Linked DNA regions of Rhinolophus ferrumequinum. The protein of the gene in region 2 purifies or fractionates together with the protein of the main gene of each other region. This does not show direct contact. Links are inferred from orthologs where the notes say so. Each region holds a gene or a part of one and is shown on either strand. Other genes may lie near its edges. The genes, in order: BTRC, USP37 and FBXW11.

What was found.
Region 1: the proteins of USP37 (region 2) and BTRC purify together in Homo sapiens (affinity purification with western blotting; 3 studies listed by BioGRID and IntAct, counting the BioPlex papers as one, with this or other methods). This does not show direct contact. The link is inferred for Rhinolophus ferrumequinum from reciprocal best matches to the Homo sapiens genes USP37 and BTRC.
Region 3: the proteins of USP37 (region 2) and FBXW11 purify together in Homo sapiens (affinity purification with mass spectrometry; 6 studies listed by BioGRID and IntAct, counting the BioPlex papers as one, with this or other methods). This does not show direct contact. The link is inferred for Rhinolophus ferrumequinum from reciprocal best matches to the Homo sapiens genes USP37 and FBXW11.

What each region holds. Positions count from the first base shown.
Region 1 is NC_046299.1:23,422,478-23,430,020, forward strand, and holds the start of BTRC (F-box/WD repeat-containing protein 1A), read right to left. Parts: upstream 3,105-7,543; 5' UTR 2,970-3,104; coding exon 2,922-2,969; intron 2,606-2,921; exon of another isoform or gene 2,541-2,605; intron 1-2,540. UniProt on the Homo sapiens protein: Substrate recognition component of a SCF (SKP1-CUL1-F-box protein) E3 ubiquitin-protein ligase complex which mediates the ubiquitination and subsequent proteasomal degradation of target proteins. Recognizes and binds to phosphorylated target proteins.
Region 2 is NC_046291.1:16,768,808-16,776,683, forward strand, and holds the start of USP37 (ubiquitin carboxyl-terminal hydrolase 37), read left to right. Parts: upstream 1-4,822; 5' UTR 4,823-5,041; intron 5,042-5,175; exon of another isoform or gene 5,176-5,381; intron 5,382-7,876. Other genes in the region: CNOT9 (CCR4-NOT transcription complex subunit 9), read right to left, coding at 4,597-4,620. UniProt on the Homo sapiens protein: Deubiquitinase that plays a role in different processes including cell cycle regulation, DNA replication or DNA damage response.
Region 3 is NC_046307.1:38,113,548-38,120,821, forward strand, and holds the start of FBXW11 (F-box/WD repeat-containing protein 11), read right to left. Parts: upstream 3,034-7,274; 5' UTR 2,889-3,033; coding exon 2,844-2,888; intron 1-2,843.

The DNA.
Region 1 (7,543 bases), on a different chromosome or scaffold from region 2:
ATATAGTTTTGTGTTTTTTTTAACTATATCTCTCCTATATGGTGCCTACATTCCCTCAATTATTTTCATTTCTCTTCTCAGGTCCTCTCCCAGTTCCCAATTATCTTTTCTGAGGAATTATAATTTTGTTGACCAAGGAAGTATTAGGAAAGATCCTTGAGGACCTGCTAAAGCTGAATGAGAGATATTAGCATATAGGTTATTTAACGTAAACTACTTCTTTAATATCATTTGTTTCTAGAAGTTAAACTACTTTTCACAAGTATCCAAGCATAAACTTTTAAATCTAGACCACATGCGAATTATGGGCAAGTCTGAATTAGCAGTCTCATTAATAAGATTCTATTGCAAAATTCCTAACTGAAGCACTACATTAATGTGGTAATGAGCAAAATACGTAAAAGGGAATATCCATTTCATCTTGGTATTTTTAACAAACTGCATTTTCTTAAACTATGGAAGTCAGGGCATCCACACAAAAACTGTCATTCATAATTCACAACTGAGGGAAAGATAAGGCCAAAACAAAGCCATACACTCTATATAATTATCAATTTGATTAAAAGCATAGCCCTTCCATGTGTATTGTGTACTAATCACTTGGTGCAAGCACAAATAAAATATCTTCCTATCTCAAAATTGACTCCAAGTAAACAGACATGTTACAAAGCAGGGTAAATGGGACCAAAGGCAAGTTGAGACTTACTCAGATTCATAATAAGGCTGTTACTGAGCTGAAAAAGAATACCAAATCTCTAACTCTCCATTCTCTGCTTCAGTTATTAAGGTGACATTCTTGGTGACCTTCTTTCAGTTGGCCTTTTCTCAAACAGCAGCCACAATAGCAGGCAAGGTCAAAAATAAAAGTAACTAAAGAAAAAACTGGCTTCTCTCTCTGGAAACTGACTCAACATTTAATAACACGTGGTGCCCTAAAAGCTGCAAACTACTACATGGCCATCTCCAGATCCACTTTAACTGAATCTGACCATTATCGAAATACAACTCACTGGTACAAAGCAGGGATCAAGTAGTTGAGAATATTCCTAGACTGAGGTCTGATTGAGAATAGATGATCTCATAATGTCTCTTTATGATCTGTAAATCACACTATTCCATAAAACTAACAGAAGTGTCAAGATTAGGATTAAGTCAACCTCTAAGGAGGAAAATAAAAATAAGCATCTGCCACTTTTCTGACTTCAATATAGAAGCTGGCTATAGATATAAAGCAACTTCCTCTTACTTTTGAAGTCCAAAAAATGTCAAAGTCTTGTCTTAATATTTTAGAATTTCAACATTGGGTACAAACTCAAGAACCTTTTCCAACATGGAATTTTGTTGATAATACACTCAAGCTTTAGTTAGGTGTTTTCGAAAGCACTAACACAAAATAAAGTTTTAGTAAATCTGACCAGTCTCTGAAAATGTATTCTTGTAAATAGGGCCGGTTAAAGACTAAATGGAATTAGGTTAGTGTCCATGTTTATTTAGATTTATTTTGGTTTTTCAGGCAAAGACACAAAATAACAACTAAGAAGTAAGATTTGTAGTGACAGGTTACAATTACTTCTGAAAAGGTATTGACTGCAAATAATATCAATGCCCCTAAGGCCACCTGTTAAGGTAGAAGTCTATGCATCCCATCATTCTTTAGCTGTAACCATAAAGTCTGGTTTTACACCTAGGATATACAAGAAGCATCAGATTAAAAGCATCAAATATCAGACTATAAAAAATTGCCAAACATAAACATAGAAAAAAAGCATGACACAAAGTTTAAAAACTGGGCTCCAAAGGATTTAAACACACCCACAAAATTCAATCCAAGCTCCTGATGTGTGCTTCAACCTAAAACTGATAAGTAACCACCAATCGTGACATCTCCCATTTCCCATTACTGACATTCCCTCTTTTATCTCCTGAATTTCTCCACTGATCTCATCACTCACAGGTCTTGTGATTCTAATCTCCACCGCCTTTCCTTTCCCAGAAAGTGATATAGCGCCTGGCCCCCACTTTACTATCTCTACAATTTAGCACTTTTGTTTTGTTTTAACCCTATTAATATTAATTTGCCCCCAATCTCGTGTAACCCAGGTTTCCTTGACCAATCAACCTCTTGCTTTTCATCTCCTCATCCTTACTACAATATTTGGCCTCTCCTTTCAAAGTAGAATGTGTACCCCCTTTTCTGACATCTGTAATTCTGGCTCATAGTCAACACCCCCCTTCCTTTCCCAGAGACTGTCACCATAACCCTAGATCCCCATCCCCAGTTCTTATTTTCCTAAGACCTCTTCCTTTCCAGAGTTTGCCAACATTAGTTTGGCCAAGCTGGGATTGCACCCTGAAGGTAAAGGCTATTTCTACGCCCTCATTTTATAAAACTACAAGTCTCGCACCAGCCCTGGCTTTCCTCCACCCTCAGATCCATCTGCATCCAGCCCTGCCGGTCCCCCTCCCCCCAATCTCTTTCCTCCCACTATTCCGCGCTCCCCTTCCCCACTCCTGAATGCACCTCTTCTCCCAAGCCTTACCCGTGACCCTGGCACTGGAAAGGCCCTGCCAGCGGCCTCACCGCGTCTCCCCTTCGAGCACTTCAGTAACTGTCCCCACGCCCCTTTCCCTCCAGGGCCCCGCGCGCCGCCCGGAGCCCCCTCCCCGATTAAGCTCCCGCTGTCACTTGGCCTCTCATCCACAAGATGGCGGAGCTGCTGCCCCCACCCCGGGTGCTCTCCACCACCCCCTCCCGCCTCCCTGGAGCTCCTGTCCCGTCCCCTTCAGCAGCCCCCGCTGCCGGCCTCGGCCCACAGTCCCGCTGCCCCCTCCTCCGGCGGACAAGCTGTCCAGGCCCGAGCCTCAGCGATGCCGCCAACGCCACCGCCAACACCATTCCCCGGCCTGCACCTTCTCCTCACCATAAACTTGAGCGCTTTTTCCTGCAGCACCGCCTCGGCCGGGTCCATAATCGCCGGGGGCCACTGGGTCTGCACTCCGCCGGGGCCGCCCCCTTGGTGCCAGGCCGCAGCCAACGCAGCGCCCGGATCCCGCCTCCTCTTTCTTCCCTCCGCCCTCTTACCTCTCAGGCACCCGCAGGGGGGCCAGGGGGGCCAGGGAGGACCGGCTATTTCGTGCGCATGCGTAAACCCACTGGCTCACTGGATTTGTAGTTCTGGAGCTTTACGCAGCAAAAAGTGAGGTCCCACCGCGAACTGCAACTCCCGCGGTTCACTGCGGCAGGGTCGCGGTGACTGACAAGCCAAATCTAGACAACTATCCTTCTAGTAGAGGAAATCAGCTGATGGGAATCGTAGTTTATAGCCTCGACAGGCTGAAAAACGGGAGGGGCAAGGGTGTCTCCGTGGTTACCAAAAGACGCCAGGGACCGCTTGCCTGGCATTTCATAGCAAGATGGCGACCAGTGCCTCAGCTGTAGCCCATTAATACTGGGAAACACTGTGAGGACTCTACAGAGTTCCTAAGACCTGCCTAACTGTGGTTTTAGAGAACTGGACACCCCTAAATTTCATATATTTGACCTCTGCGGGATGGATTTCGACCCAGAGGCGCTGGGCCTATAAGCATCTGGCCGCCCCTTACACAGACGAATGCAGAATTTCAAGGTCCTCCTAAGCAACACTTCTCCCGAGGACCTTATTCTCCCCCACACCAAGGCAGGGCCCAATAGAACTCGGTTCTGGAAATTCTCAGGGGGTTAGCACTCAGAAAGTTGAGCTGCTACTGCTAACCATGAGATGTAAGCCCTGCATTAAGGGTCAAACAAGTACTTACAAAGACCTTCAATAGTGGAACATAATGGCCATCCAGCAAATAAAGCATATAAGTATTTAGTTTGGCCTTGAAAGGGACAGTACAAGTTCATTTTGGAAACTGGGTCTACCCTAGATGGAAAAAACACTGGTCTAAAAATGATAGGGTTGTAAAAATAATAATAATAATCTGAATTTATAAAATAAGTGAATTGGGGAAATGCCTTTTCACTTATAAGAAAAACTTCCCTTATAAACTATTCATTCGCTAATTCAACAACAGTAAGCACATAACCATGTGGAGACATCGTTCCAAGAAATGGAGATTCTTGGATAGACCCAGTGAGCATGATAGACCCAGTCTTGTAGAGCTTGCATTTCTAATATGTTGATATTCTGTCCTAGTCATCCTTATGTATTGAACTCAGCACCATACCTAATACATAATAAGCTTTCAATCAATAAAAAGTTTACTCTTGAATTTTAAAAACAAATTCTACACAAGTGCAAAAATGTGGAAGACTTAAAACTCACTCAAATGAAAAATACCTGGAGGTTTTCATAGGACTAAGACAGTCTGTGACATGGTCACCAAAAAAGCTAAAGGAGGGCCGGCCGGGTGGCTCAGGTGGTTGAAGCCCAGTGCTCCTAATGCCCAAGTTGCTGGTTTGATTCCCACTTGGGCCAGTGAGCTGCGCCCTCTATAGCATTGTGAACAACAGTTCTCCCTGGAGCTGGGTTGCCCTGAGCAGCCGGAGGTTGGCATGAGCTACCACCTGCTGTCGTGTGCTTTGGAGAGTGGCCGGCAATGTGAGTGGCCGGCAACCATCCTGAGCTGCCCTCAGCTACTGTGGGCTGCCATGAGCAGTGGGCAGCTGGCCAGAGCTGCCTGTGAGCCGCTGTGAGCAGCGCACCAACGACAGGCGACCGACTGCCTCAGCCAGGGGGAACGCAAGGCTCATAATACCAGCATGGGCCAGGGAGCTGTGTCCTACACAGCTAGACTGAAAAATAACAGCTTGAACTAGAGTCAGGGGGCTGGGGGTGGGGAGGGATGAGGAAGAAGGGGGGGGGGAAGCCAAAGGAGTCCTAGGCAGCTTGAAGAGTGGTGTCTGGGAAATAGAGGCTTATGGTCTTACTCTGTTTTGAAGCACTCAGATCACACCTGGAGTACTTTGTTCAGTTACAGGCACCATGTTCTACAAACATCAGATGCAGGAGTATAGCCAAGAGAAGGATAACCAAAAGAGAAAATACTGATGGATGCTTACTCTGAAAAAAAGAACACTTAGGAATAACATGACAACTAAATTTAAGTATTCAAAAGTATTGAAAGGCATGTATATGTAGCACCATAAGGCAAACTAGGACCAATAGGTGGGATAATAATTATGATGATGATAACAACAGCTATCACTTTATTAGCTCTTTGTGCCAGGCACTGTAGTAGGCATTTTACATTCATAATCTCTAATATTCATAGTAACTCTGTAAAACTGATATTATCCTTAATGTACAGATGAAGTGAATGATACTGGTAGAAGATAAATAACTTGCTCAAGTCATGCAGCAAATTACATAGTTAGGATTCTAACTCAAGTCTGCTTGACTCCAAGGCCTGTGCTATTTTCACTGACTCACACTACAGTGACATAGGACTCAGACTCAGAGCTTTCTAGTAATCAGAGCTGTCCTGACAGAGGAATAGACTGCCCTATTTCTGAAAACATAGAGGCAGGATGACCATCTGTCAGGGGGGTTCAGTTTGGGTGGGAGGTTAAGATCTTTCAAACTCTAAGGTTTTATTCTTTTTAGAAGTCATTTGTTTTACTTTTTTATCCAGAGAGGAGGATGAAAATATTGCCTGATGAGGCTGGCAGTCAGTGGCAGTCCTCACTTTGTCCAGTCATGTAGAGGTCAGGATTAGTAAAACAAACACAAGGAGTTTTTGTTTAGAAGCCCAGCCAGCTAGACAGTTCATATGCATATGGATTGAAAGTAAGCTGGCAGGGGCTGGGTACACAAAGGGTAAGTCCTTTTTCTTGAAAATTGACCACTCATGGTCAGGCAAACAGAAATCCAAATGTGAATTGCCTTGATTTTCAAGCCTCTCGTATCCAACAAAGTTTAGGAAAGTTCATTGGACTAATAGTTAAGAGACCTGGTTCTAGCCCATCCTTTCTCCAGTTAATTGGTTGTATTTGTGCAATTAACTGAACCTCTCTGGTCCTCTCTTTTGTCATCTGGAAAACAAAGATCTCTGCCATCTCTAAAATGGGTGTACCTATGAGCCCGGCTTATGGTGCTTGTTCAAGGAGAAGACTGAATCATTAGAACCTTTAAAGTTCCACGTTACTGGAAAACTGGATTTCCAGTGTGAGAAATCTCAGGCTACTGCTGGACTTAATTTCTTCCATTAATTTCCTTGTTTAAGACCACAGGGTACTCTGGCTTAACCTTGTCTATTAGTGTCTGTATTCAGCCAATAATCTATCAAAATGTCTCTTTCAGCCTCCACCTCCAATGCAAGCCTGTTCCAGACTACCTGTTTTATCTTTGTTCTTAGTTCACTATAGTATTTATTCACTTCCCATCCAGTTCTCTGACTCCAGGCTCTCTCCATCCGCCTCATCTGACTTCACTTCCATCACATTTCTTCCCTGATCAATCCTTTTATGGCTCTCTTAACTACTTTATCATTGCTTAAATTCCTTTTTCTAGCTTTCCAGACCTTTCAAATCTTATCCAATCCTCCCTCTCTAGCCTTACTTCCCACTTGTTTTAATATAACCCTCTGCTCCAAATAGACTGTTCTCCTACTCCACGTGCTTAGCACACTCCTGCCTCCTGGCCTTAACTTATGGGAGTCATTTTACCATTCTAGAAGGCTTCCTTTTCCTCCTCTTTCCTACCCATCTTTCAAGGTCTGATTTAAATCTTACTTTTGAAAAATAGTTATCTATTGCCTTTTAGCACTACAGCCTGCCCTCCCCGCACAGGCAATGTTTATTTGTATGGGTCTTTCAAAATAAATATTGTTTTGTATGCTGCATTTTTTGTTGGAGGTGGTGTGCTACATTTACAATTCACAAATGTAATATTGTTTTATATATCTTACTATGTTTCATACCTTTTGCACCCAGTATCTATGATTTTAAGATCCATTCATGTTGCTATACGTACATCTAATCTGTTGCTTCTAACTGCTGAATAATAGTCTGATGGTGTGTAGCTCCCACATTCTACCTATCTACTCTCCCAGCAAAGCCTCCAATCACCCCCAATAAAGCTGTAGTGATCAACCTCCTACGTGATCCCTGAGCAACACTATCTTTGAGAATATTTACCGAAAAATCATACTTGCTGGTTCATAGACTATTAAGGATATTTAGTTGGACTATGTAATGTCAAACTGCAGTACAGAAAGACCACAACAGTCTATGCTTCCACCACACTACTCCACCACACTTGACATTGAGATTTTCGCTTTTTTTTTAAGCCAGTTTACACATTTTACCTTCTCTGGCAACACCCAATCCACAAGAATCATGCCCTCCTGCTCTTCTAACTCCCACCATCTCTGTAGTGTGTGCTTATAACACATAGCAGACTGGAGTCAGAAATATTCCACATCTGCCTGCACTTTTTTCTCATTGCATGGCATTCCCCTCTCCTATACCTGCTGGGGTTCTCAACTCTGATTGCACGTAAGAGTCATTTTAGGAGCTTCATGAAAAATATTGATGCCCAAGCTCTATCCCCAAGGTACT
Region 2 (7,876 bases):
ATGAATAGGAAACACGTAAGTGGAACACACACTAGATTAGAAGCCATAAGTGGCTTCAAAACACAGCTTTGCCATTTCTAGCATGTGTAACCTAGGATAAGTCATTTACTTTCCCAACCCTCAGTTTTATCACTGGTAAAATGAAGGAATTAATTACCGAAGTCTCAGTCAGCTATAAAAATCTTAGAAATTTATTTAATTCTTTGTTATAAAGTGAGAGACTAATCTAAGTGGCTCTTTAAAAATAATAAATTTTATTCAGGTATAATTTATATACAATAAAACTTTTCAGTGCACCCATTTTAAGTGTACATTTCAATGAAGTTTGAGAAATCTATATACCTGAGTAACCACCACCACAATCAAGATATAGATCACTTCCATTACCCTCAAAAGTTCTCTAGTATTCCTGTCAGGAATCGCACCACACCCAGCCCTAGGCAACTATGGATATGCTTTTTGCTGCTATAGATGAGGTCTGCCTTTTCTAGAAACTATTTATAGGAGGTAATATTTACTGAACATACTATGTGCCAGTCACTGTGGATCATCTGCCTTATTCTCAAAATTCTAAGAAAGAATGGGTTCAGGGAGGTTAAATATATGCAAGTTCACACAGCGAGTATATGGCAGAAAATTAGATTTAAATTCTAGGCTACTTCTCTCTAAAATCAGTGAGCCCCTACCTGGTTTATAGGATTGAAATCACAAATATCTCTCCAAGTTGAAGAAAATATTTCTTAAGATCCCAATACAGACTTTTAAGTTTAATATCCCATTGTGTATAATATAGCTCATTAACAGTTGGATTTGGATAAACGGTAAGTTCACTTACATACCCAGAAACGTAAGGTCACTCATGAGAAGTCTGATTTAAACTATTAGTTATCTTCCTTAATACTGTCTTCCAAGATTACAAACAAGAGCTATTGGATATAACTGTATCTTCAGATATAACTCGCTTAATGTCAGTGGTCCCTTCCTTTCAATGTTAAAAATGTCTGTATGGCCAAAATTTAGGAGGGAATTGCTCTCCCCTTTTCTGTTTAATGATTTGTATATAGAAAAAGTATTTCAAATAACTTTTTTCTTTCAACAAAGCTTAACATAGGCAAGACATTTACCAATGTGAGTCACCAATGGTTAACTTCAAGTGTCACAAACACAGGGTACTGATAGTTGGTCTTCTATCTTTGTAAGATCTTAATACTTAATGTGAAAAGAAAAAGATATTTAAAATTTAAATAAAAAGACCCACATTTACCTATAAATGAGAAAGAAAAATGATTTACCCCTCATGAGGAAATTTAAACATTGATGTTGATGGCTTTCTTAAACAGAAAATATCCAAATCTTTCAGTATGGGCCAAAATAGATTCAAGGGCCAAAATAGCTGGCTTTTCTACCAATGAATATTTGACAATGAATAAAGAAAGAAGAGTATTAGATTGAAAAAGAGATTATTTTCCCAAGTCTGGAGATGACTCAACAAGTGTCTTTGAATGTCTAGTTGACGATATTCCAAGAAAACACACTTTCTAAATACTGCCAAAGGGAAATATTAAATTAGCTCAATTATCCTCATATCTTTATGAAAATAAGGTCCAGAATGTTCTTCAAAAATAACTTTTTAAAAATAGAAGTGAATAAGCAAAGAGAAGTTAGGCAATTTGCTTAAAACTTCAACAGGAGACAGTCTTTGAATTAGATGTGCCAGAATGAATGCACAATGTTCTTTTTACTTGCCAAAGAGGAAGGCTTCTGGGAGTCTAGCACAACTTCAACAAAAAGATATAGAATAACTAATGACGGTGCCCATTAGGTGGAAAGCGAGGCAAAAACAAGGGTTTAAAGATGTTAGAATTGCCAGTAGAAATTCTACTGGGGAATCAGTGGGGAATATTTTTAAAAATGCATACCCAGAGCATCTCATAAGGGCTTTCCTTTGGTTGTTTTAGATCACTAGCATATCATTCATTACAGAAGACCCACAGTATGTGAAGATATGTATAATAATTCTATTAATCAACCTCCAAGGTCCATAACAAAGTGATTTGTTACTCTGTTGAGGCAGGAACTAGAGTCCCAAAGCTGAACCTAGGAGCAAGCCATTTAACCAGTGAGTGAACCTAGCCAACCACTGATCACTCTGTTATTATTTCATCTTTAAATAATCCTGTGTGTATTTGTGTCCTTATTTAATAGATGTGAGAAATTACATTCTATGGTGGCAATAATGAAGACGTTAGAATGTATTCTGTAAAGAATGAAAGGTCTATCATACCATACATTTCCAGTATAATACTACTCAAGTCAAAATTTAAGATATTTCCCAAATTATCTCAAATCCTCCCTATTGTGAATGAAATCCTGCATTCACATGTGATCACATTCTCCTTTGACAGTACTATCTCCCTAGCTGAAATGATGAATTACCTGTTATTTTAAAAAAGATAAAGGTACACACAGATACAAATTTTCATCATTAGGCAAAAAGTAATAATCAAGTTGCTTAGATTACTGCAGGCACTGGTGCATGTATTAACTTTTCTCAATTTCTAGAGAGTGACAAACACCATTACTGTCCCTTTACCCAGATCAGAATAAAACAGGCAGTTTAGTCTAATGGAAGGCATGCGCTTCAGTCTCCTCACTAACCAAATATTCTAGTGAATGAGTGGTAGAAAGTAACTTGTCAGAGCTTTCGTGTGGTCTAAGCAGCACAACAAATGAAAGTATATCTAAAAGTTCAAATTTTAAATAAATGTATTGTCAATCTAATTGAAGAAACATGTATTGAGTACTTACTTATAAGTAATGAACCACAGCTTTAATGGCTGTTCAAAAGATGAATTACAGGGAGCAAATGAAAATAAAAGAAATTGAATAGGTATGGGTATAGAGTTTGGGGAGGCACAGAGAAAAGAGCAGCTTGGCATCAAAGTGTGGCGAACACACGATCAGATTTTGAGAGATGGACAAGCCAACCTTAGAAGAATTTATTTACCTTGTCCCTCCCTACTAGCAGAAACCTCATCTTCTGACTTGCTTCTTCCAAATTATACATGTAATGTGCGAGAAGAAACAAAAAAGTTGGGGAAATTGCAAACACCCAATTGAGAGATATAAAAGGTACTTCTCCACTTTGACTAGTTACAAACACTTAGAAACATGGTGACAGGAGGCAGAGATGCCACTGGCTCTGGAAATGACGTTTTCTCTAACCTAATTACACAGCTTCCTTTTTATATTTAAAGGCAATTTTTTGGGTTCTCTATTTCGTATTTGTATCATTTTGCCTACTAATGCAACTTAAGTATATTATTCTCTCATTAAGTCACTTTACCTCTGTGAAACAGAAAAAGTGGGGTGGGCATTTACAAAAGTGTGCTCAAATCATATGATCCCATTTTCCCACTGTGGCTATGTGTTCTCAGTAGCCACCTCCTTCATCTGCACCCCTCATTCAGCAAAGTACCTGAGCCCTTACTTTATGCCAGGAACTGTCCTGGATCTGGGTTACTATGTAAACAAGACCCACATGATCCCTGTCTCTGTCCTCAAGAGGGAGACAATCAACAAGCAAATAAATACAAAAAAATTACAAATTGTAATCAATGCTGTAAAGGATACTTGAAAAGTAAAGTTGGAGGTTACAGAACTACAGTACTTTAAAAAAGACGGTCAGGGTCGCCCACTCTAGGGAGATTTGGCAGAGACCTGAGGGAAGCCAGCTATGCCCACATTGGGGGGAGGGGTGTGTGTGTGTGTGTGTGTGTTTAAGTTGGAAGAGCATTCCAGGAACAGAGATCAGAAAGTGCACTTTGGAGTTGAAAAGCACACCAGAAGGGATGGTAGACGGGATGTCCAGTGTAACTGGAGCCTACCGGGCAAGTGACATAAGACAAGACTGTAAACGTGGGTAAGAACCAGCGAGAGTCTTGTCATAGCGAGGACTCTGGATTTTATCTAAATGCAATGGGAAGCCATAGGATTACACTAGACAGGTGAACTACCCGATCCATTTTGGTTAAAAGACCACACTGATAAAACGAGATGTGTGAGGAAAGGTTTTAAGCGCAGAGAACCGTAAGTCAGACACGATAATTATTCACTTCTCTGGGTCTCAGATTTTCCATCTGCAAAGCAAGTGGTTTTAACTAGAAGCCATTTCCTTTCCGCTGCGATGTGCCTAGGCAGTCAGTTCCGAGAGCCCGGGGCCTTGTCAAATCGATCACAGAATTACCCTCATCCCCGCCGACGCTCGGAACGCAACGGGCACCCGGAAACTGTTGGTCAGGGCAATGAATCAATGAATGGCCAGTCCGGGCCGCGAGGGAGGCGTTCCGGGCGCGCGCAGGCCCCAGGCCGGAAAAGAACGCGAAATGCGGCGCGAGAGGCCACAAGTGCCGGTGGGCGAGGAAAGTAGGGGGTGGCTTCACCGCGACCAAAGCGCGGCGAGGAGGGGGGGCCGGGGCCTCGTGGGTTGAGAGCAGAAGTTGGACTCCAGGCTCCACAGAGGGAGCTAGGAGAGGAGGCCGAAACGCAGGACTGAGGAGGGGTTCTGGGCCCAGGCTGGGCGGCGCACCCACTCACCGCAGCCGTCGCCAGGCTGTGCATGTTGGGAGCGGCCACCGCTCTCCAGCCACCGCCGGACGCGCCCGACCCACGTCCCAGCTTCAGCGACTCTGCCGCCAAAGAGCTGCCGCAGCCGCCATCCGCCTCCGGCTCGCTCCGCCCCCTTCGCAGCCCTATGACCTTTCACCCCTGACACCGCCCACAATCCTCTTCCCCCCTCCTAGCTCTCCACGGAGTTAGTCCTAAAGTCTGTCCTTTGTCGCTTAAGATTCAGGACCTGAAGGACGTCCGCCTCCTATTAGTCCTGGCATTCCCCGCAGGCCTCCCCAGAGAGGGGAGTGAACTCTGACCCTCCTCCGGAGGCCAGTGAAGGGCGGGAAAAGCAGGGCAGTCCCCGAAGGAGAAGTAGTACGCATGCCCGACTGGGCTGAGTAAGATGGAAATGGTGGGAAGTCGAAAATGAGTGAGTAAGAAATGCGCATGCGTCCTGTAGTCAGATGGGGCGGGGCTGCCTTGGCGAGACTTCGCCGAGTGCTGGGGCGGGGCGAGGGCGTGGAGGGGCGGAGTTTGCATTCCTGCGCGCACGCGCCCCGTCCGGTCGCGTAGAGTGTGCGTGCGTGCGTTGCGTGTTTGCGTGTGGTCACAGTTCCCGCCATCAGCCGCTCTCCCTGAGTCGGGGGGAGTGAGCTGTCCCTCTCCTCCGTGCCGGGTGTCCCTTCCTTCCTTCCCCCCCACTTTTCCCCCTCCGCGCGGACTCCGTGCTTCCGGCGGGCCTGTCCCGGGCTCAGGACTCGCAGGCACAGGTAAGGCGGGCCCAGAAAGCTTCTCAACTGAGCGGTTTTCCCCAGCGGCTTCCCCCCCACCCCCGGTCCGCCCACTCGGCGTTCACTCTTCTGGAGTTCGCCCCGCTGCTGCTCAGCCTGCCCCCATCCACTCGACGCTCCCCTGGCCTCACCGGTGCTGCACTTGGGGCTTCCCTCAGGCTTTTCTTCTCCTTTGACCTGGTCTTGACTGTTACTCGCCCCCTCCGCAGCCGGAACCTCCCCCATTTCGCTGGGGGCTGTCGGCGTCCGCCACTCGCCCCTTAGCGAGGCCTGCTGTCTCTAAAAAGAGGACCTACGTTGCCGCACATCCACAGGCCTTGGACATGATTCTCTCACTCTCTTGACAGTTCCTCACCTTCTTTCCTCTCCTAACCATCTCTCACTAAAACGCATGAATTGTGTTCTTGTCGTGCATTTGGTTGCTCCCCATCTCTAGCCATCAGTTCAGGTTGTCAGCTTCACCTGTTTTAGGGCATGAGCCATGAAAGGAAATGATAATTGATGACAAAATCCTGTTTTCTGGAGACTTGGCCTGTAGTGGCTTTGTGGTAGTTCTTTCAAAATTTTGGCTCTGTACATGCCTTTTGGGGGGTGACAGTATCTGACAAGTAGCTAACTGGAAGAGATACCTAAGAGAGGATGTCAAGTTAGCAGTTGGATATATTGGTTTGACGCTCAGAGGAGAGTTCTGGGCTGGAAGTATAGATAAATGTATATATGTCATCTGCCACGTTGATGGTAATCAAAGCCATGGATGTGGATGAAATTGCCTAAAGCGAGTATAACGCTGGAAAAGGGGATCTAGGATGGCTCACTGAGGGGTTCTTGACGTTTAATAACTGGATAGAGGAATACAAGTCTGGTAAAGAGATGGAAGAAGTAATCAGTAGTGTTGCATTTTGCTGAAAGATGAATGAGGACTGAGAAGCCCAGTGAAATCAAAGTAATCGATGGTCATGGTGAGAGAGGTTTAATGGAGTAACATGGAATATCTTGGTTCAGTCGTAGGCCCTGTTCTTTTTGCTCTTCCTTTTCCACCCTAAGCTTTGAATTCTACCTATATATTGATGACTTAAGAACTTTTATTTCCAGCCTCTTCCCAAAAGCTCAAGATCTATTATAACTAGCCCCCATTTGCTTGACATTTCAGCTTGATTTTTTTCCTTAGAGATTTCAAATATAACATGTCTAAAACCAAATTCTTAATCTTTCTCTCCATATCCAAATTCTTTCTCCAGTATCCCGTTTCATTAAGTGGCATATCCATTTATCCACTTACATAGGCTAGACACTTGAAAGCCATTCTTGACTTCTCCCTCATTTCATGTATCCGTACCCTCTTCAAGTTCTATTTATTCTATTTCCAATATATGTGTTGAATCTATTTCTGTATATCTTTCGTATCACTTTTCCAGTCCAAGCCACAATCCTCATTCACTTGGACTTAATGTCACTGCTAGGTACCCTGTATTCTCATCTGTAAAATGGGAATAATCATCACCTTATTGAATTTTTATGAAGATTAAATGAGATAACTGTGGTAAGAACATGATACATAGTAAACAGCCAGTAAGCATTATTATTGTAATTGTTATAAGCTGAATCACTTTAATACTTTCGTATCTGGTTGTCCTGTTTTCTTCCATTCTTGCTCCTTTCTCCTCCCCAAATTGAAATCACTTCTTTATTCAGCAGTAACATGTCATTTCTCTGCTTAAAACCCTTCTGTGGATTTCCCAATCACTAAGTATTTATTACATTGAGGGTAAAATTCAAAATCATTACTATGCTGTACAAGATTCTGCATAACCTGAGTCTTTCCTGCTTTACTAGCTTCATCTTGCACCATCCTCCTCTCTCTCACTAAACTCTAGTCACACTGCTTTTCATTTCTTCAGTCACACCAAGTTACTTTCTGTCACAGGGCCTTTGCACATTTTGTTCTGTTTACTTGGGTGGTTCCAGCATGACTGTCCTTCAGTGAACTCTTTCTTCAAGTTTCAGCTTATATGGTACTTCCTCAGAGAAACCTTCCCTAGGTGCTCTCTAACCTTTAACCCCCAAGTCTTAAATCAGGGACCCTATTATAATCTCTCATCATGCCCTGCACTTTATATCATCTTTCAGAACTTGTAATTATATGTTTATTTGTGTGGTTATTTAAAGTCTGTCTCTTACTAGAATATAAGCTAGTAACTATTTAATTTCTGTTTCTCAAGAATTGGTTAAATGAGTAGCCATCATGTCTTTTGGAAGGTTACTGATATTCTTGTCATCTGTTGACAAACACCTTTTCTGTCTGCAGACAAATCAAAGGATACAAAAAAAACAACAAAGGGTTTTCCAGCTTTGGACGAATTTTCATTTTTATGTCATAAAATCATTTAGATTTTAGACTCTTTGAATTGGAGATAAACTTTATCTAGGGCAACTTCTCTCTTTCAGCCACAACACTAATTTTATCTTTGTGCAAG
Region 3 (7,274 bases), on a different chromosome or scaffold from region 2:
GGTGTATCATCCATGTTAAAGACTGAACCCAATGAGGTAGGTCTGTTGGAAAAGGCTTCTTTGTGGACTCAGCCTCAGGCAGGGGTGGGAGTCACAAAGTAGTTGTATTTTGGAGATTTTAACTATTCTGCTATCACCAGCTTTATTTCCTAGTAGTGAAGAAGTGCAAGGGAAAAAGGAGAAAGAATCAAAATCAAAGTAGAGGAATGAAGATTAAGAAATCAGAGATACCCATGAAGTCTGTTTCCTTTCTTTAATACAGCACACTCTGAAATTATCAAATGGAAGTTACCCTGTTAACCATTAAGTACCAAACTGGTACAGGCCGCACAATGACAAATATTTGAGTATTGAAGCTGACTCATAAAAATCTAAAAATATTTCGTGCTTTAGGCTTTCAAAATACCATCCCTTTAACCCTTTCCCCTCCTTCAATCATGTTATTTTGAAACCAATGTAAAAAATATTTTTAACCTACTTCTGGAAACTGTAATTAAAATACAGTTAATACAGAAAGCCACATGCAATTAGATTTTAAGGCATTATCATTCCTACATCTGCTCCTGGATTTGCTAAATCAGTTAAGTACCTGTGCTACTACCTACTACACTAAAATACATATATGTTTATGAAAAGGGTTGCCTAAGAGTCTTAACTGCTATCCCTTTGAGGGAGTATCAAAATCCATATATAAAAAAAGCCATTTTAAAATTGATTTAGATAACTATTAAACTCTTTCTAAATTCTCTAAGAATCCCAGTTTATAATGTCCTTAAAAGGCTGAAATATTTTTTCAGATCACAGACAAGCACAAGCATGTAAAAATCAAACCTTTTTTAGGTTATAAGTATAGCATAGGAAGCCAGTAAATTTAGGCCTGATTTTTTTTTTTTACAATATACACGAAGACACTAAATAGATTACACTGTGTTTCTTCTCTTTTGAAAATAAAGACATTTTAGTTACTCTTTAAATGAACAGAAATGAAAGGAGCACAGGACAGCCAATTTCAAAGAGGTATCAAGATACAATTTTTTAATATGAATTATTCCTGTTAAGTACATGTATGAACATCCATAAGAATATGTACTATATTTATAATTCTAATTAAGATATTTTACCAAAATAATCCACTACAAAAGTTGCAGAATACCAAACACTTGACTTACAATTATACTGAAGAGGACAAATTACTTAATAAATGAAAATCAAATAAAAAGCCCCAAGTGACAGTATGTATCCCTTAGAAATCAACCACACGTGTGCACACACTTCCTAAACTATCAGAGCTTTTTTTTTTTTTTTAGTTTTCAAGAATGCTGGAGAAGTCTAGTTCTGTGTCTGTGAATTATGCAAAAGCAGCATATATTAAGCTGCCTCCGGATTTATGCTACTGTACTTCCATTTTTAAAACATACATCTCAACTCCCCAAGTACCATCATCCACAGAAACCATGCAGCTATCCAACAGACTTTCAGTGTCACCATTTATTATTTATAGCATTAAATGGGGGAAGTGGCTCTGATGTCACCGACCCTACCCAGTGGAATTACTGACTCAATAAACATTTTCACACTGGAGAAAATCTGGCTAGGAAAACCTTTTGCTGGGTTAAGTAGATTCTTTCACCTTTCCTCTCAACCGTGGGCTAGAAATTGTTACCGTGTTAGGGGACATACAAAAAACTGTCAAGGTTTCCACAGGAAGAAAGCCTGGGCTTGTCCATTTGCTGAAGCAAAGACTTCCTCCTCCCAACTCTCCATAGCCCCGTTTGATTTCTCTGATGTTCAAATTGGCAGGTAATAGCTGCCATGTTTTATTTCTCCCACCGAATCATCCACCAAGTAGCAAATTCTTCGTTTCTACTAGCCACTCTCTTGTGGTCCTGTTTCTAAAAACTCCTTCTGGCTCAAGTCCTTAGGGGGAAGGGGGGAGGGGGTTGGGGCGACCGCGGGGCCAGGAAGTCTGGTCTGGCTACCAATGGTTCCTAACAGAAGAGTTATCGTTTCCCCTGAGGCCTAGGATTCTCCCCCCAACACACACCTTTTTTTTGAGAAGAAAGAACTGACGGCAGTGATGAGGGCAACCCTCCCCCCTTCCTCAATTTCCCAAAGCAGCTCTCGAAAACATGAAGTTACGGTTTCCCTTTCCTGGAAGATGGAATCCAGAGTACCTGGGGCCTTGCTATGCAAACATCCCTCTCGGCCCAGTAGGAAACCCTTTGTCCGAGAAGCCGGACATCAAAGGGGCCCGGGAAAGAGACCCCTTCTCCGTCACCACCTCAAACCCGAGAGCTCCCCACCTCCACCCCTGTAGGGCCTATCCCGGCATCCACACAGCCCTAGGTTGGGGACAGGGGGCTGAGACCCCGCACTAGGTCGCGGAGGCCAAGGCCCTGATCCATCTCCTCCGTATCCCCTCCCACCACCTCATTCGGCCTGACTGGGGCTTTCAAGAGCGGTGCAGGCCTGGGCCGGGGAAATAGAGGAGGAAAAAAAAATTAACGAATCCCCTTCTAAGAAAAGGAGAATGGGATGCTACAGCGAGTATGAGTTACGGCCACAGCAGAAGCGAGCGAGGATCGTTCGAGAGATGGGCCCGGAGACAGGATAAGGGGAGGAGAACCGAGGGGCAGGGAGGGGGCCGGACCAGGTCCGGCCTGAGATCTCGAGGGATCCGGAGGAACCGCTCCCGGCCCGAGGCCAGGGAAGGCAGGGGGCCCAGGTCGGGGCCGAAACGGCGGGGAAGGGCCAGGGCCGGCCTCGCGCCGGACCCTGAGATGGGCAGGCCCGCCCGGGGCCGGACGGACGGAAGAACAGACGGTCCAGCGGGCCGCACTCACCATGAGCTCGATGGTCTTGTCCTCAATCACCGAGTCGGGCTCCATGGCGGCCCCGCCTCGCTCTCCCCGCGCAGCAGCGAACGGCCCGGGCGGAGGAGGCGACGGCGGAGGCGGCAGAGGCGGAGGCGGTAATCGCACCCACTCTAGCTGCCAGCCCGCCCGGGCCGCCGGCAGCTCCGCCCTCCCCCTCGGCGAACGCACTACGCCGACAGGACTACCGCTCCCAGCAGGCGCCGCGTGCCCGCCAAGCGTTGTGGGAATGAAAAGCCGACACCCGGCCAATCTCTCCTGGCAGCGCGAAGCTGAATTCTGCGGCGAAAGTGGCACTGAATCGTGAATGCGGAACGTTCAGACCGCAAGAATCACGGGCTCCCACCGGGTAGGGCCTTGGGAGCCCCGCCACTACATGTCCCCGAAAGCCCTGCGCGCGGGTTCTGCTTCCGGCTACTTCCCCCTGACTTCCTGGCAGCCCAAGGCTACTCAGACCGGAACGGAAACTCAGAAGCAACTCTTCGCTTGTCGGAGGTCCCGCTTGTGCGACCAATTTCCGCACATGCGCGGTCGGCCACCGCAATGCCCATTCGACGTCTAGGTAGCGGCGCAGCTGGTCAGCTAGCGCATGGTAGTTGGGACACATTGGAGACAGGTAGGTTCTGGGTGCGTTAAGAGGGAGTGGTCTTGGGGCTCAGGTGTGGGAGGGGGCCAGCGAGCGAGAGACGCTCGGGCAAGGGAGGAGGGTCCACAAGGGCCATCCATCATCCCTCTCAGGCATCCCAGTGAGGTGTTTGGAGATTTCGATGGGGAAGAAGAGGTTTCTGGAGAGGAGCTGTAGTGCTCATGGAACTGAGAGGAGCTGAGAGATGAAAGGGAACCTGTGAATAGTGAGCCCCTCGTATTCATTTGTTCAGAAAATACTTTTTAAACTTCTGGCCTCGGCTGCGCACCAGTCTAGGCCCTGGGAATCCGCTCCGAGCATCCCAGACAGGTCCTCTGTTCTCGTGGGCTTCATTCTAGTGCGCAGGAAGGCAGACATTTACCCAGAGTGACAGGTGCTAAGACAGAACACAGCTGGAGACCTGGGGACGCCTAGTGAACTCGGTCACCAGCTCTCGGTGACCTTAGGTCTGTCACTGCCTCCTAATCAAAGACCACCAGAGACAGGTAGTTGAAGTTGCGTTTATTGCTTGGTTGCTGTAAGGGGAAAGCGTGGGGCATGAGCATCTCAGTAGAAGTTATTAGATGATTTGGGAGAGGGTTTAAGGAAGTGGGGGACTTTACTCTGAGTTCGATGGTGCCAGGAAGTGGGGGTAATTCTATGATTGGGCATCTCGTTAAATCTTACCTGGAAGGGAGGAATACTAGACTGAGGCTAACGCTGTAATTGGTAAGGAAGCTGCCCCCCTCATGTTAGCCAGGATGGGGGATGTTTGGTTTTTTGTGGTTTGAACAATGGTCACGTTTTATCTGCGAGCGGGTATACTTAAGGAGTGGTCTTGTTTTTGTCTTGATCTCTCATGGTTACAGAATGGCCTTGTCCGATGTTTATGTTCTGTGAAAAATTATATTCAACAGAACACAAGACCGAGCTAAGCAGGCCAGGCTACCATCTAGTAACATTACAGCCTGGCTGTCATGTAGCAGGCCAGCTTCCTAATGTCAGAGGTTGCTTTTCTCTGCACCTATAAAGTGAGGAGATTAGAACACCTATAAAGTGTTTAATTATTTTGTCCAGCTTTTCCAATTGTCCTCCGTGTTAGGATTGGTCTGAATTACCTAGTCTGCCATCGTTGGAAGTGGAAGTTCTCTCAGTATTGTTTTTAACTAAAGACATGCTTGTTATTAACCAGACGTCTGGTACCACAGCAGGTTAATATACATCCAGTCTACATCCCCCAGACCCCCCACACCTCCCTTAGCGAACTCTTTATGGTACAAGGACCCAGACTGGATATCTCAGTGTTGCAACATGCTGGGTTCTGGGGTTTCGGGGTCAGCTAAAGTCTTACTCCCTGCCTTCATGGAGCCTGCTGTTTCCCCTTTACTTTCTAGAGCCTCCAACCTGTGTGGGTCAGTATTCCCATTCAATATCAGCATTGTTTTTGTCCTTTTCAGCTGGTCTCTTGAGTTGCTGTGGTCATGATTTCAACTGTCCTTACCGAGTAAACTCTTTCTGAGTCTTCTTACTGTCCACAGGGCAGTAGGGATCAGTTTGAGCTCGGCATGCAAGTGTGGCCCTCATGGCTACCGCTATTCACCCTCAACTCTACCGCGGTGTCGGAATGCATTTTTCACGTACTCATTTGTCCTCCAAGACTCAGCATCACCTCCTCTGGGAAGTCCTCCCTGATTCTCCCAGGCTGTGTCAGCCTGCACGGACACTCTGCCTCTCCAGGTGTTTCCTCAACAGGACAAGTGTTTTGAAGACTCAGTATCTTACCCATTACAGCATCTCTAGTACTTGTGATTATGCGGTATCAATTAATGTGGGATCATCTCATTTCCCAAGTTCCACACAACCCCTAATGCTTTGTCTTCCTCACCAGTCTCATGAGTGCTTTCCCTGGGAACCCCAGTCACTTTTCTAGCCCTTAATGGGAGGCGTGCCAGCTGTTTGTTCACCTGCATCCCTAAACACCCAGTTCACGGACTTGCGAGACATTGACAGTGGACCGCCACCTGCTGGTGGGAAAGTTTCTAGGACAGGGACAACTCAGGGCTGCAGAGTAGGGGTTCTTTATCTTACGGTGTTCCACAAAGACTATGAGCCCCTTCTCAGAATACTTTCCGATATACAATATAAAGCACATAGATTACAAGTGAAATCATTAACAATGAAATTAAGCTATCAAGATATTAGGAAAACTTGCTTATATATGTGACATATGTATGTAATGTGATACATATATACAGTATATTTTCATATATCACATTAAATAACAAGATCTAGCAATAGGTCTAATTACTACTATAACTTCAAAGTGATGAACAAAATGATATTTTAAGATGTCTTTAAGAGCCACACGTGAGATGAAATCTCTGACTTCTGTTGCTGACAGTTACAGGTACTGCTACTACTACTAAAATGTGTGGCCTACGTCCATAAGGAAAGGAAATGCTGCCTTTCAGTTAGAGGTCAGTAAAACGAAAGACCAACTCTTCCATCCTGGTACAAAGGCACTCTGAATTCTATCCATGGATTCCTTGGTGGGGGTCTGGGAACCCCAGGTTAAGAACCCCTGAATGGAACTTTAAAGGCAGAAAAAATCTTTTAAACATGGCAGAGATGGCTAGTGGCTAAGTGTCTGTGTGACTCTTGCTGAGTGTAATGGGCAGTTGGGGACAGGGGAAGAGGTGTGGGGGAGGTAGCACTGCTAGAAGGTCTACGGTTGAATCCCTACGCGTCACTTGCCAGCGGTGTGAGGTTTGGCCTGACCCTCCCCTTGCCCAGTGTCCATTTCCTCATCTCTAAAATGGGAATGGCAGTGTCTTCCTCGGGTTGTTGAAAGGATTCAGTAAGTTAATATGTGAAAACTCTTGGTGGCCAGATGTTTGTTAAATGAGAATAAATGTCCATAGAAAACACACACACACACACACACACACACTCACACACAGCCAAGCATAACTTCTTTCAGAACAGAAATCCCACAGTCAGACCGGCTGTATGACCTGGCAGGCAGCAGTGCACTCAGAAGCTAGCCCCTTGGTTCAGCTCTCCCTTTGCTTGTCTGGCAATCCAAGAGAACCACCCCCATCCAAGAGAACAACCCCAAAGGCAAATAGAGTTTCTCACCTTGTTATTTTATTAGAAGTATATTACTTCCTTGCAGTTAACTTTGCAGAGAACATATTACAAAAATCTTGTATAAAGTTTGAAAACTACATAAAAATAACTTCTATCCTTCATCAAGGGAAAATATAAGTTAGTTAGATTTACTCTGCAATAAATTGACTGAAAAGGAGAAACAGTTCTGTGTGTCCCTTACAGAGGAAACAGTAGCACAGAGCACGCAGAGAACTACGTGGGCTTCTCAGTGATGGGCCTGCACGTTGGCTCAGTCGTGAGGCCGGAAGACCCACCCAGGCCCCATCCGGGAAGGACAGGGCAGCTACTGGGGCTCAGGCGGCACTGAGCAGGGAACAGCTACCCCTGAACGAGATTCCAGTGTGAACAAGCCAAGTAAGGGAATAACCAAAGGCCTGCCTGAGCCACGAAGCCGCATCTCACATAACACTGCTTCTCACACCCCAGGCTGTAAAGGCGGTGTTGTAAACAGCCCAGATCAGCCCTGCCTGACCTCGCCTGGCGGGACTGGGCGTGCAGTCTGGTTACACTGCTGCTAGTGCACGTTTCCCCAGTACCTGTGCACTTAAGAGGATTAAAGGGGATAATTGTCTCACTTGTCTCCTTTGCTGAGACCTGAAACTGTC